Linked DNA regions of Drosophila melanogaster. The protein of the gene in region 2 purifies or fractionates together with the protein of the main gene of each other region. This does not show direct contact. Each region holds a gene or a part of one and is shown on either strand. Other genes may lie near its edges.

Region 1 (9,374 bases), on a different chromosome or scaffold from region 2:
TTATTGTTGAATAAATGGTAACAAATAGAGAAATCAAAATGGTAAAACCGAAGCACTAAGCTCAAAAGGAATGGCTAAAGTTAATATATTGATATCAAATAAACGGTTGCAGAAAAAGATACAGAAAAGGTAATTGAGTCAGATTGAATGCAAACAAAGCAATTATATAGGCACTAAGGTAACCGAAAATATAACATTGTGGAAAAAAATTTTAATTTTTAAATATTTACCTGTGTCATAGTTGTATGTTATCCCTCAAATGATGTTCATCAAAAGCATAAATTACGATAAGTTACGACTTTTAACAATCCTAACACTGCAGAGATCCAATAACCGTCAAGTGTATATATATATGTATATATATGGTGCACGATTATTAAACAAACAAACTTAGTATGCAAAGCAAAGCAACAACAGCTGCAGCCAAAATCACATTCTCAATTAAACCATAAACGAACAAATATATACAAATTCCCGGCTCTGACCAGACTTCAAAGGAAAGCAATAGAGCTGTGAAGCTTGAGCAATTGTGAACTTGAGTTAAAAATATAAAATAAAAAATTGTGTTATCAAAAGACATTCCTAATTTAAATTTTAAGATTTAAAATTGGCGCCTTACTTTTAGCGGGTATCCGAACCCGAATAGCGATAATTGATCGGAGCAAGTTCCACAATTTGACATTTCGATATATTATCGGAACCGGTTCAACCTGCCTTTGAAAACTTAAACAAATCACTTATATTTTTTTGTCCTTAATAATGGGTTTTAAAGTGAGGGTTACTCCATTATCCCTATATCTATTGTTTCTTTTGATATGTTTTCCAATCCGTTACTTAAAGTAGAATCTCTTAAGTTAACCAGTTTTAAGGCGATGCCCATTTCATGGGTTTAACATTGTCGTTTGTTTCATTGTTCACCACGCATCCTAATGGCAGTAGTAAATATATTTGAATCTATAGCCTAGCTTAAGTAACACAGTTTTCTCCTACTATTGTTGAACATTTGAAAGACATTTTGTGCGTCCAAAAACAATTAAAAGTATAAAAAAGCGTTTTTACAAACTTTCAAACATTTTTAATCATAATTTAATGGCGGGAGTCTTCTTTCAATTTGTTGCCAAGTAAACACATTTTTCCTGAGCTACTACACAGAGTGATTTTTAACAATATACATATTCAGATGGAGTTTCTTTACTAGCTGAAGACATTTGTCAGTTGTTCGTACATAGTAAATGCATACAGTGTGGATTTATCCAAAGAATATTTATATTCTATATTTATCGAATATTGTTTATTAGATGTAGCTGTTACAAAGATTAACGTCGGCCTGAAGCTCGGCCCCTTCCGCGACCCCGTGGACCACCTCGTCCGCGGGCGCCTCTGCCCCTGCCGCGATTTCCCACGCGGCCGCTGTCCTTCTTTTTTGTCTTCGACTTCGGGGTGTCGTCGATGAGGAGCGTCTCCAGCGGCAGGCTGTCCGGCAGTATAAAGTATCTGATGTTGTTGCCGCGAATGCTCAGCGTCTCCAGGTGGACGGGATCCCGGTTCTTGATCGTCATCCGAACGCTCTTCAGGTGAGTGTTCATGGCCACATCCACGCCGGTAATGGTGCCGTGGATCTGGGTGCCGTTCTTCAGTTCGATGGTCACGGTCTCGTGACTTAGCTTCATAAGGAATCTGTAATGCATCAACGGGAAGATTAGTAAACGAAATTAAGGAAATCCCTGTTGCAAAGATGCAGCATTTCAGAGATGCAAGGCTATTATAGGTAGAAACAAATATCTTATTGGGTGATTGAAAAATGAGATACAATAAGGTGTATGCAAGCAGCCTTTATGATGAAATATACTTAGTAGAGCCTTTACTTTTAGCAAATTAGTACGAATTTAAAGGTAGCTTGTATTTGGTGGCCTTGGATTAAGAGCGTTGATTGCATTGAATATAGTTATGCAAAATGCTACTTAAAGTGCAAGAATTGTTACCAGATACAAGTAAATAATGGAAAACTATTATAATAACAGATCAAAACAACATTCGTATTAAATTAAATTTTGTGTACAAAAACAACAAATGGGAGCATCGCTTTTGCATGCATACATGTGTGCAGAATCGCAGAACTCAAAAACTGAATGAAACTATACTGCACGCATTGCTAACAAGTTTAGTTTTAGTTTAGGTAAATGACGCATAACATACCTTACTAATTTCATGTTTTTATGTGTTTTTGGTGGTTTTCTGCAAAAAAAAACGCGCACAAACAATGCCGGCTAGTTTACTTGGAATTTGGTGGTTGCGGTGAACTGTTGTATCGTGTGCTAAGATAGCAACGCTCATTGGTATTGTAAAATATATCGGCTACCAAACGGAATCGTAATAAAAGTGAATATGAAGTAATAAATGAATTAATGCATTCCAGAAATAAATTATAAATTTGCAACAATTAAGTAACAATTAATGTCATACTGCTCTATAAATAAATACTTGTGTCTTATTAATTACTCATGTTAATAAATACGATTACGATTATATTATTATAATATACGATTATATTCCAATTCAGTTGTTCCAAATCCCTTGGTAACCGCAGCCAAGGGTACATATTCGACTGACTTATCGATAACGCCGCATATCGCGAAAAAAAAACAATCCAGTGTTAAGAAAATAACGATTAATACTTATTCGCGGTCGCCGTCTATTAACTGGTTTTTAATAAAACACATTTGTCGGTGTTTTGCACTCGCCGCGACATTAGTTCAACGCAGTAGAGCTTTTTAACTCAACGCAGACATCGAATATAATTTTTGACATATGTATTTATCCGGCTCGGAGTGAGAAATTAGCAAGCCATGGCGTTACTCTACCGACGCATGTCGATGCTATTAAATATAATTCTTGCATATATTTTCCTTTGTGCGATATGTGTGCAAGGATCTGTGAAACAAGGTAATGTTTCAAAAACTCAGACGAACATCATAATTGGTACATACATACGTACATCAAGAACCGTTTGTGGGTGTCAACAAATTGCAATGTCTCATTTTTTTTTTGTGTTGTTTTTGCAAATGTGAATGGAGTGTTTTACATTAAGTTGGAAACTGGAATTATCATTTGATATGGTGGTTAACAAGACGGTTGTATAGTTCTTAGATACAGTAGCACTCGAACTATGTCGGTAACGCCCAAAGATTACGGCGATGGGGTGAGATTTCAATTGGGGCTAAACAAAAGTAGTCGCGCATACATATGTACACACTTCCCGGTACATACATACGTTTTATGTTTCTGCGTACATACTTATGTACATCTATCTGATTTATCTGAAATATAATCACATATATATATATTTGTAATATTTCTTCAGCTAAATACGTGTTGATTCCGAAATTACGCCGGATTACTACCGCGAGTTTTATGGCCAATATTGTGGGTGTAGTTTCATTTTTATGTCTGGCTTTTACCGCCCATCCAGAAAAACCTTTCTTGGTGTCCATCATAAAACTTAAAATTTAATAGGAAAGTTAAATAAGAAATTTTCCTTCAATATAGTTCTAATTTGAATATTTTACTAAATCGCATAAAACCCGGAAGCTATAATCAGATTTAAATATACACAACCATTAATCAGGAAGATATATTTTAAGTCTAACATATTTTTAGGCTGACAGAAGCATGTTGCTACTAGATCGGTGTAATTTCTATAATTACGTCTATATACAAAACTGATAATTATTTTAATGAAATTTATTTACAGAGTGGGCAGAAATAGGTAAAAACGTATCTCTAGAGTGCGCATCTGAAAACGAAGCAGTAGCATGGAAGCTGGGCAACCAAACTATTAATAAAAACCATACAAGGTTAGTAACTTATTGCACAAGCATCTAAAAATATTTCTGCCCCCATAAAGATGGAATAACATAATAATCTGATCATTTTTCGATCTTTTCAGATATAAAATAAGAACTGAGCCATTGAAATCCAACGACGATGGCAGTGAAAACAACGATAGTCAAGACTTCATCAAGTATAAGAATGTCCTGGCGCTTCTCGATGTCAATATAAAGGACTCGGGGAACTACACATGCACAGCCCAAACGGGGCAAAACCATTCGACTGAATTCCAAGTTAGGCCATACCTTCCATCCAAAGTCCTGCAAAGTACCCCCGATAGGATTAAGAGAAAAATCAAGCAGGATGTCATGTTGTACTGTTTGATCGAGATGTACCCACAAAATGAGACAACTAATAGAAACCTCAAGTGGCTTAAGGACGGCAGCCAGTTTGAATTCCTGGACACCTTCTCGTCCATTTCGAAGCTAAACGATACGCACTTAAACTTCACCCTGGAATTCACAGAAGTTTACAAGAAAGAGAATGGCACCTACAAGTGCACCGTCTTCGATGACACCGGACTCGAAATTACCTCCAAAGAGATTACCCTTTTCGTAATGGAAGTGCCACAAGTTAGCATTGATTTCGCCAAGGCAGTTGGTGCTAATAAAATATACCTAAATTGGACCGTTAACGACGGCAACGATCCAATTCAGAAGTTCTTCATCACTCTGCAGGAGGCTGGAACACCGACTTTTACTTATCATAAGGACTTTATTAACGGCAGCCATACATCGTATATTCTGGACCATTTCAAGCCGAACACAACCTATTTTTTAAGAATCGTGGGAAAGAACTCGATTGGCAATGGCCAACCCACCCAGTATCCCCAGGGAATCACCACGCTTAGTTATGATCCCATATTTATACCAAAAGTCGAGACCACCGGCAGCACGGCGTCCACGATAACGATTGGCTGGAATCCACCGCCGCCAGATCTCATTGATTATATACAATACTACGAACTGATTGTCTCCGAATCGGGCGAGGTGCCCAAAGTGATCGAAGAGGCCATTTACCAGCAGAATTCTCGAAACTTGCCATACATGTTTGATAAGCTTAAGACCGCCACAGACTACGAATTTAGGGTAAGGGCATGTAGTGATCTAACCAAGACTTGTGGACCATGGTCCGAAAACGTGAACGGCACAACGATGGACGGCGTGGCAACAAAACCCACCAACTTGAGCATACAGTGTCATCATGACAACGTCACGAGAGGCAACTCCATCGCCATTAACTGGGACGTTCCCAAGACGCCAAACGGCAAGGTTGTGTCATATTTAATTCACTTGCTGGGCAATCCCATGAGCACAGTGGATAGAGAGATGTGGGGACCAAAGATTCGAAGAATCGATGAACCCCATCACAAGACCCTCTACGAAAGTGTTAGCCCGAACACAAACTACACGGTGACGGTGTCTGCCATAACGCGGCACAAGAAGAACGGCGAACCGGCCACCGGAAGTTGTCTAATGCCCGTCTCCACGCCGGATGCCATTGGCCGTACCATGTGGTCAAAGGTGAACCTGGACTCCAAGTACGTTCTCAAGTTGTATCTACCGAAGATCAGCGAACGCAATGGGCCCATATGCTGCTATAGATTGTATCTAGTTAGAATTAACAATGACAACAAGGAATTGCCGGACCCGGAGAAGCTAAACATCGCCACATATCAGGAGGTTCACAGCGATAACGTGACTAGAAGTAGTGCATATATAGCGGAAATGATAAGTAGCAAGTACTTTAGGCCGGAAATATTCTTGGGCGATGAAAAGAGATTTAGTGAGAACAACGATATAATCCGCGACAACGACGAAATTTGTCGGAAATGCTTGGAGGGTACTCCATTTCTGAGGAAACCCGAGATCATTCACATACCCCCACAAGGTTCACTATCAAGTAATTAATATAAACTTTATTTATTTTTTTTTATTTGAAACTAATGTGCTTTTCTTTAGATTCCGATTCTGAACTGCCCATTTTGTCGGAGAAGGACAACTTGATCAAAGGAGCAAACTTAACAGAGCATGCTCTGAAAATCTTAGAAAGTAAGTTAAGGGATAAAAGAAACGCGGTGACCAGCGATGAGAATCCAATTCTAAGCGCCGTCAACCCAAATGTGCCACTCCACGATTCTAGTCGAGATGTCTTCGATGGTGAGATAGATATTAACTCCAACTACACCGGATTCCTAGAGATAATAGGTGCGTAATGATTGATTTTTTGAAAGCAAAATGGTAATATCATGTTTATTTTCCTCAGTTCGGGATCGAAACAATGCCCTGATGGCTTATAGCAAATACTTTGATATAATTACTCCGGCGACTGAAGCTGAACCCATCCAATCCTTGAACAATATGGACTACTACCTAAGCATTGGGGTCAAGGCTGGAGCCGTATTACTTGGTGTCATACTTGTATTTATTGTGCTGTGGGTTTTCCATCACAAGAAAACCAAGAATGAACTGCAGGGCGAAGACACTTTAACACTAAGAGATTCTTTGAGGTAACTAGTAATTGTTTGATCTTCTTGATGTGATTTCAATTAATATTCAATTGTTTCTTCACATCAAGCAGGGCATTGTTCGGTCGACGAAATCACAACCACAGTCATTTTATAACTTCCGGAAATCACAAAGGATTCGACGCTGGCCCCATTCACAGATTAGATTTAGAAAACGCCTACAAGAACCGACATAAGGACACTGACTACGGATTTCTGCGGGAATATGAGATGCTGCCAAATCGCTTTAGCGATCGGACAACTAAAAACAGTGATTTAAAGGAGAACGCCTGCAAGAACAGGTATCCCGATATAAAGGCTTACGATCAGACGCGCGTAAAGTTGGCTGTCATCAATGGCCTGCAAACTACGGACTACATCAATGCTAACTTCGTAATTGGCTACAAGGAGAGAAAGAAGTTTATCTGTGCACAGGGTCCAATGGAAAGTACCATCGATGATTTTTGGCGAATGATTTGGGAACAACATCTAGAAATAATTGTGATGCTTACAAATTTGGAGGAATATAACAAGGCCAAGTGCGCGAAATATTGGCCAGAAAAAGTATTTGATACGAAACAGTTCGGAGATATTTTAGTGAAATTTGCACAAGAACGTAAGACTGGTGATTATATTGAACGTACCCTGAACGTTTCCAAGAACAAAGCCAATGTCGGCGAGGAGGAGGACCGTAGACAAATCACCCAATACCACTACCTAACGTGGAAGGACTTCATGGCACCAGAGCATCCACATGGCATCATCAAATTCATACGTCAAATCAATTCCGTCTACTCCCTGCAAAGGGGTCCAATTTTAGTGCATTGCAGTGCTGGTGTGGGTAGAACCGGAACCCTGGTGGCTTTAGATTCCCTAATCCAACAGCTGGAGGAAGAAGACTCGGTGTCCATTTACAACACAGTGTGTGATCTACGACACCAACGAAATTTTTTAGTCCAATCTCTGGTGCGTAGATATGGAAATTCCACTCGTAGTTGCTGTAATAACTTTCTTTTTGCTTGCAGAAACAATACATCTTTCTTTACCGGGCTTTATTAGATACTGGAACCTTTGGAAACACGGATATTTGCATTGATACAATGGCTTCTGCAATTGAATCTCTTAAGCGGAAACCCAACGAGGGTAAATGCAAATTGGAAGTGGAATTCGAGGTTTGTATAGTTTGTTATCTACTTGCAGGCGTTTTGCTTATTACTATTTATTTCAGAAACTACTGGCCACAGCAGATGAGATAAGTAAATCATGTAGTGTGGGCGAAAACGAGGAGAACAATATGAAGAACAGAAGTCAAGAGATTATACCCTACGATCGCAACAGAGTAAGTAATAGTGGCTAACTTTTATGCGAACTGTGTTTAATGTTTGTGAATGTTTTTGTGCAATTAAAGGTTATACTAACACCACTTCCGATGCGGGAAAACTCAACTTACATTAACGCATCATTCATAGAGGGCTATGATAATAGCGAAACCTTCATCATTGCCCAGGATCCACTTGAAAACACTATAGGAGACTTCTGGCGAATGATCTCGGAACAGAGTGTTACCACCCTCGTCATGATATCCGAAGTGAGTAGTGCCCTCTCTACTTTATTGGTTTCCCATTCAACTGAGTGCTTTAATTGCATTGCAGATCGGAGATGGTCCCAGGAAATGCCCGCGATACTGGGCAGATGATGAGGTTCAATACGATCACATACTCGTGAAATACGTGCACAGCGAAAGTTGTCCATACTATACTCGCCGCGAATTTTATGTTACGAATTGCAAAATAGACGATACGCTGAAAGTCACACAATTTCAATACAATGGTTGGCCCACCGTGGACGGAGAAGTTCCTGAAGTCTGCCGTGGCATTATAGAACTTGTAGATCAAGCATACAACCATTATAAGAACAACAAGAATTCTGGTTGTCGATCTCCACTCACAGTTCATTGCAGGTATGCGGCGATGCTTTGATTCATGCACTTGACGGATTAATCAATTATAAATTATTTGCAGCCTGGGAACCGATCGAAGTTCCATTTTCGTCGCCATGTGTATTTTGGTCCAGCATCTGAGGCTGGAGAAGTGTGTCGACATCTGTGCCACAACAAGGAAATTACGATCTCAGCGAACGGGACTTATCAACTCATACGTAAGTGAATTTGTTTATATTTTATTGTCAATGCATTAATTAGATGTTTATATGGTTTCTAGGCACAATACGAGTTCCTACATCGCGCAATAATTAATTATTCAGACTTACATCACATAGCCGAGTCAACATTGGATTAAGTTAGATATGTATATACTTATACGAGTACAGAATGCACGTGTTGGAACATCAATGCATCAAATGTGCTATGATAAATTATTTGTATATTTATAAAATCTTTTAATAAAGTATTTACAAGAGCAAGCGTAATTTTTTTAACGAATTACGTTTGCCCGACACATAATATACATACAAATATAAATGTAGTGTATACGTATCGTATTGATAAAACTACCAAAGGAAAATAAGTAACATATTTTATAAGATACAATGTAATAAAAACTGAGAATAAGAATTGTACTTTTTATGAGCTTGATAAGTGTGGTTTACATTCTTTTTGGTTGTGTGGATTAATGGTTTTCGAATTTTCTTATAATAGTTTTGAATATTTCACTTATCAGTTTGTAAAAATGACTTCATTATGAACGTATTTAATATTACACTTTTCATTTTGTAAATATGGGACAAAAAATCCATAAAATTAAGTAAATGTATTTATCGTTTTTCCGTATTCCTTTATGTGTATTGATAAATTATAAGTACTACAATTTATTTTTAATAAAATAAAAATAAGCAGATTTGAATTGTTTCACATACCATTGTTTCAAATCGATAAGTCGATAAATATGATATACCAACCTGACATAGAAACCAAAACCGATTTCGTATTTTATTATTTTTTTTATACTAGTTTTCAGATTAG
Region 2 (6,427 bases):
CGGCTACACTGTAACGGCTTTTGTGTGCGGGTGAGTGCTGGCTTTGGCATTGTTTTCCTGCACGGATATCCTTAATGAGTGGAACTGGGCTACCGCTTCTCGAGCAGCAGCATCACAACAGCTGCCACCCACAACCGTCATAATTACCCCGCCCCCTTCGCTGGACCAGAACACCCTCCACCATTTCCCCCACCCAGCTGACAAACACACTCGAGCTCCTTGGCACTCAAGAAACTGAAAACGGGGAGCTGGCGCTGGAGAAGTCCTGGCGGGGGTCCTTCGTATCTCTGACCACATGAGCACATAAATCTTCGGGCACGGTGGCAGTGGCGCCCCCTGACGGACGGACCCAGCTTGACGCCCAAAACCACGCTGCCAAGGAATGCGAAAAGTGCCTTCAACTTTTTATGAAATATGGGTTGACAGACGGCTCATCTGTCATCTAATAAATGCATTTAAAATTAAACAAATGCGCGCATAAGTGCTGCAATCAGTTAGACATTATGATAGATTGGTAAATTTATAAATAATTATTTAATTTATACATGATTTGGTAAAGGAACTCATAATTTGTATTTATATTTGTATATGTTATGTCCTTTATAGTTGCTTTTGACCCACTGTGCACAAGCCCCATCATTATGGGCGTGTAATTATCACGATGATCACTTTTCAACATAACCAAAGCGAGGAAACTTTTATATTAAAAGTAAACTTATGACAAACGAGCAAAAGAAGGCCAGCTGGAGGAAAAGTGGAGTCCTGGACAGTGGAGTCCTGCCACACACGCGTCACATCTGCAAGAGTGTGAGTGGATGTGTGGGGGTGTAAGGATGTGTGGGTGTCCATTGTCAAGTGTAATTTATCATTCAGTCAACGTTCTTCGATTGCAGTTTATCTTCGGAACTTACTTTACTGGGTCGCCAGTGTAATTTCCCACTCCCCCCGCATCTTTCCATTCTGTCTGTTCTCCGGTTCTCCCTTTTCCCACGAGTAAAAGCAGAGGAAAGTGTACTAGGGGAGCAGCAAGGATATTCCCTCGGAGTTGTTATTGTCCTGGCCGTAGAATGAATGGCAAATCAGGAAAATCTGACCCCCAGGTTGTTAGTTTTCTTGCAAGGATTTTTAAAGCCAATGGGAGCAAAATAGCAATTAACATGGATTTTGAAGCATCCACCTCGACCTCAGCCATCCATCCCTCGCCCTCCCTCCCCCTGCTTTTCCATTGAGTTCCTCCTGGTAATAATCGGAAATAATTGAAGAAAGAGAAAAACAGCGGGGAACGGCAAAAAGAGAATACTTACCGGACTGAAAAGCCGGGTAGCGGGGAATGGGTCACATCCTTTGAAGGATGTTTGTGTGTGCAATTTGTAGCGTTTTAATTGTTGTTTATGCGATCTAGAATGGGGGCGAAAGGAATGATGTGGTGGGGACTCCTAGGGCGCGGGGACCCAAATGCATCACCACCGCAAGCCACTGAGCTAATTTTGATTGCGGTGCCTGCAAACGACAGGAATCAGCAGGTGAAAGACGATGTCGGCTCCCGAGATCCTAATTAACTATGCCACTGATGTTTGGTTCGATTCAGCAGATTGCCCTCAAATGCGGGTTAGCAGCAAGTTGAAGTGCCTAATGCCCCGGGGGAAAACAAAGAACTCGAAGTCATGTGAATAAAGTCAGGGGATTGATGAATATGTAGAAGGATATGAAAGCTATCAAATTAAAGTAATACTTGAAATGATTAATTATTTTGATATTAGCAAAACAATAGGTTTCAATCATGACATTGATATCTGTAATCAGCATCTATTAGGAGTGTCATTACTGTGCAACTGGAATATATCTTATCTGCATCGGCATTTAACGGCTATTTCGAAATATTCAAACTTACTCGCTGCTTTTCTGGTTCTCATTCAGTGAATATATTTTACCATTCTCTCACAATGTTGTAAGCATTCAGAGAGCGAAGGAATTCCGGTTGAAACTCCGAAAATGTTGTTTATTCGGCCAGTGCGCAGACTCACCACTTTTGCCGGCAGGATTCAGCAACAAATGTTTATGCTCGCAACTGTGATGATAAACAAACCTGACTGAGACCAGAAACTACAATGTTGAGAAGCCATTTCAATATTATTTATTTGTTTTTGGAAATTTTAAAAACCCTATTGATATAAGATAAACACCAAACTACCATTAGAAGGCTGCCATTTTGTTATAAAATTTACTAGTATGATTGTACTTTACGGAAACACATAGCATTACAAACATTACAGAAAGCCTCTTATATGATGATACCTCCTTATCATACGGAATTCGATTACTTTTCGTTTTCCCGAGCTTTCCCCGCTGAAACAGCTGATTTGCCTGCAGGAATTTACTCCGAAATGTTGCTCTTCCGACTTCCCCAGTTCCCCGAGTTCCGAACTGGCCGAGCTGCTCCGAAGGCCGGAACTCACCACCCAGCGAACATTGCTGTGGACTGTTCCCGGTCTCCGGATCTGAAGGAACCCCATATCGAGTTGGCCGTGGGACGCCGTTCAGTTGAGTTTTGGTTACTGCCGCCAACGGTTATCGAGCTGAAAGTGAGCGCGTGTCGAGCTTTTTTGGTGCCCAGTTGTTTGGGCCAGCTTCGTGGGCGACTGGATTGGCAGCAAACATAAACAAACGAAGTGCGAAATTGCTCGGAAATCAGCTAATTGACACAACGGACATGCGAGGGCCAGACTTTGGCCAAATTTGGCCTGGCCAAAAAGGAAGCGGAAGTACTGCGGCCGCAAAATACATTGTAAACTGCTAAACTGCAGGGGAAGTGTAGCGAATAGTGTGCGAATGGAAGTCGAGTAAAAATCAAGCAACTCGAATAGATATATATATCTTTATATCCCTGCGGGAGTCGCTCCCCTGTGTCTGTGTGCCGGTGTGTATTTGTGTGTGTGTGTGCCAGGAGTTGGGCTGGGCAAATAAGTGCTCGTGCTCAGCTTTTTTAGCCAGTTTATCTTAAGGCGAAATACTGTAAAAAATTGTAAAATGGATTTACGTTTCGTATTCATCGTTTTCCTGCTCAAGTGGACCCATGCACAAGGTAAGCTCGAATAAAAATACACAACTGGTGCAAAAACCTATCCTGGTCATGGACTTCCTTCCTTCCGTCCATCAATCCATCCTATCCTCTCCTGCGTTTGCCTGGCATTCTCTGTTTGTGCAGCTGCCACAAGCTCTGGGTTCTGGGCTCCGAGTGGGTGGATATGGATGTGGATGAAAGGCGGAGACGGGTGCAATTCAAGTGCAATTCAGCCGGCCTGCAATTGCAAATATGCCATAGAAAATTGCTCAACAGAGACAGAAGTGCCAGCTCGTGAATGCACGACATTTGTATAGCTCTGCGATCCCGTAATGAGTTGCATTTAACTCATCCGACTCACTTGGCCGAGATGTTTTGGGAGCCGGGCATATTTATGATGATTGCCGACAGGTGTTGAATGGCTCGTCCAAAGGCTTGCCAGAATGTTGGTTGTCAGGCTTGGATTCACCTGAATGCTGGTTTATTGATACGTAGACTTGACTGGGAATCTGCATTCCGGAGACAGACTTGTCCCAGAAAGATACATAAATACTCGGCATTAGTAAATGGATAAAGTCCGTGCTGATAGCTGAAGAAGCCACCAAAGCAATTTACTAAGACTTAAAACTTTGAATCAAAATGAGCTAAGAATAGACTGAAATATAATTCGGTTATTATTGATAAATCAAATGTTGAATAACTAAGCTTGGTAACATTTCACACATAATATTCCAAGTAGTAGAGTTATTGTGGCAACACAATTTCCATTAAATCTACACTCTGAATTAATTCCCTTGCTCATCCTGCCTAATCGCTACCAAACTTTAGTTGCCAGATTAGCATATTTCCTGATTTGCATTTATTGGCCTAAACTGGCAGATAACTTAAGGCATTTCCCGAATCGTTCCATCCGCTCAAACATGCTTATGCGTAATGCATTGATTACTTCCTCCCGAAAACTTTTGCCAACTATAATTTATAACTCTTGCTTATCTCACCAATAAGTTGTAGCCATCAAATGGGAATTCGTATGAGCAAAACTTTTGTGCCAGACGCAAAACAATTTCCGCTGCTTTCAGCCCAACAAATTAGTGGAAAATGTTCTGCCAAGAAACGAGAAACAAGCCGGGGATTCCCCTCGGGCTGGCTAACTAAGCGAAATGAGTATGAATTCGAGTCGTGGCTCTGAATACAAGTGAGTACTCAGGGGCATGGCTCAAGCGGCATGTTTTTGTTGCATAAAATATGCGCATTTAACAAGGGGCTTCCCACACTTTGCCCCAAAAAGCAAACATATAAATGTGGGCCCACAAAAAAGCATTTCTGCCCGGCCACAAATGATACAAAAGATTATTCATATTTTTCGGAGGTAGCACATATACGAGTATGTATGTATGTACATATGTACATATGTGTGTGTGCGGCCATGTTGCCGCTGTTCAATTTGCGTTTTTTACGCTTGGATCTCCTTTTTTGGTTAAGGGCATTTTTATTATGTAGTTCATGCATGTAAACGAATTCAATTGAATAATATCCTGTCATTTTGTTGTTACATCCTCTTCGGGCTTTCCATTATCCCCCCCCCCCCCCGAAATTCTTTTCCCGGCTGCTCCCCTCGTTTGGCATGTCAAAATTTTTATCAGCGCACAAAATCCGCCAATGCAGGATGAAGGATATGGTGGAGTAAATAAATAAATCCCGACAACACGCGTGTCCTTGTATCGCCGTCCTGCTCGCGCAGATCCTCTCGCCCGCTCCCACGCTACTCTCGAAAGTATGCAATAAATTTCGAACAAAAAATATATTGGCATTTTAGTGGGTTGGCTGCCTTCTGCTCGTGTGCGGTGTATCCAATAAAAGAAAATTAAATACTTTCAGCGAAAGATTCTTCTTTTGGGTAAATTAATCGTACCTCTGTATTCTGTCGGAGTTTCAGATTTTTTCGCGTACCCAAATATGGATTACAATTCACTAAGTGCCTTTAATTCGAGCTTTATTTATAAATATAAATACAATATTTTCCCATATCTGTTACAGCTTTTGGCCCAATTCGAATGCCAGTTTCGCAAAACGGCTCCCAGTCGTGTGCCATAATTTTCGTTTCCCAACTTTGCCCAAGTTTGCTTAATTTATAAATTATGCATTATGTAGACTGCGTTACCAGGCAATTATCATTTTCCCGGGAAATTGCTGGGTCGCTTGTTTTGCTCCTGGTCTCTCGCCCAAGAAAGTAGGCTACGCAAAATTAATTTCTGCTGTATGTTTTTGCCTGTGTGCTTGGCTCGGCTCGGCTCGGCTCTTCATGTGCGTGTGCTTATTTATTTGGCTGGGATTCGAGAAAGGACTCGGATCGGTTGTCTTGTATTTGGCCCTCGTGCCTGGCGGCTACCGAAAGCAAAGGGCAAAAACACAGGGCCATCCGCACGGCGAAGTAGGAAAAAGTTTGGCAGACCGGAATATTAATGAGTATTTAACCTAAATTGTTGCTGCCTTTGATAAGTGCCACGGAATATTCCCCATGTAGCAACGAATCTATTCTTGCCCCTTAGCCAGCGGCATCAATGGCAGACGAGAGAATTGGCCGTCTCTCTGCGGAATGTGTGGGCTTCCCTCGTAACTGAGGCATTAAATTACTTTAAAAGAAGGGGAAAAAAAGGGTTAAATTATTTTAGATGCTAGAACGAACCCCATCGGCTGCCTTTAAGACTTTCCGCCCAAAAACTCGAAGGACCTGCTCGAATTTTGCTCTTTTCCGACTTCGGGGTCGGTGCCATGAGAATAGGTATTATTTGGCCAGACTCGAGTTAATTGAAAGGACGAAGGTATTTATTCCTTCAGGGAGAAGGACCCGGTCGGCAAGTAATAAAGTAATATGGAATTAATCTGGAGTCCATTAAATATAGAAATATTTGAGAAATTGAAAGCCAGTCGGGTAGAGATACAGTATTTACTTGGCAGTTTATCAAGCACAGTGGCAATTGACTAGGAAAAATTTCTACATATCTATGGAAAATTCAATAAGAGAGGTTCACAGTTTTATTGAGTATATCAATATGTTGAAATAACTAACATTAGTTGAAACTACAAGCGAATTAGATAAATGAAACAACAAAGCTGTGCAAAAATATTTGGCTTAGTATAAAACCCATTAGCTAGTCGAATATTTATTTTAGCCAACTCCTACTGCTGTTTTTACACACACAATTTCCATGCAAAGCAATTACCAGTTTCCAGTTGTATTCACAACGTCCTGGCAAATTGTAATTTATCTTAGCCTTGGGCCAAAGGACAATTCAGGCAGATAGTCCTGTGGCAAACACACAAACACAGCCGCACATGAGCATGCGAGGGAAAATTTTAATTAAT

Evidence for each region.
Region 1: the proteins of robo3 (region 2) and Ptp69D purify together in Drosophila melanogaster (affinity purification with western blotting, with the first as the bait; one study listed by BioGRID). This does not show direct contact.

Annotation. Positions count from the first base shown.
Region 1 is NT_037436.4:12,732,307-12,741,680, forward strand, and holds Ptp69D (protein tyrosine phosphatase 69D), read left to right. Parts: upstream 1-2,638; 5' UTR 2,639-2,846; coding exon 2,847-2,943; intron 2,944-3,751; coding exon 3,752-3,854; intron 3,855-3,946; coding exon 3,947-5,790; intron 5,791-5,849; coding exon 5,850-6,095; intron 6,096-6,153; coding exon 6,154-6,397; intron 6,398-6,465; coding exon 6,466-7,360; intron 7,361-7,419; coding exon 7,420-7,566; intron 7,567-7,622; coding exon 7,623-7,733; intron 7,734-7,802; coding exon 7,803-7,982; intron 7,983-8,046; coding exon 8,047-8,354; intron 8,355-8,415; coding exon 8,416-8,551; intron 8,552-8,613; coding exon 8,614-8,691; 3' UTR 8,692-9,262; downstream 9,263-9,374. Other genes in the region: small ribonucleoprotein particle protein SmD1, read right to left, coding at 1,317-1,677, 2,197-2,210. UniProt on the Drosophila melanogaster protein: Possible cell adhesion receptor.
Region 2 is NT_033779.5:1,253,864-1,260,290, forward strand, and holds the start of robo3 (roundabout 3), read left to right. Parts: upstream 1-2,553; 5' UTR 2,554-3,027; coding exon 3,028-3,082; intron 3,083-6,427.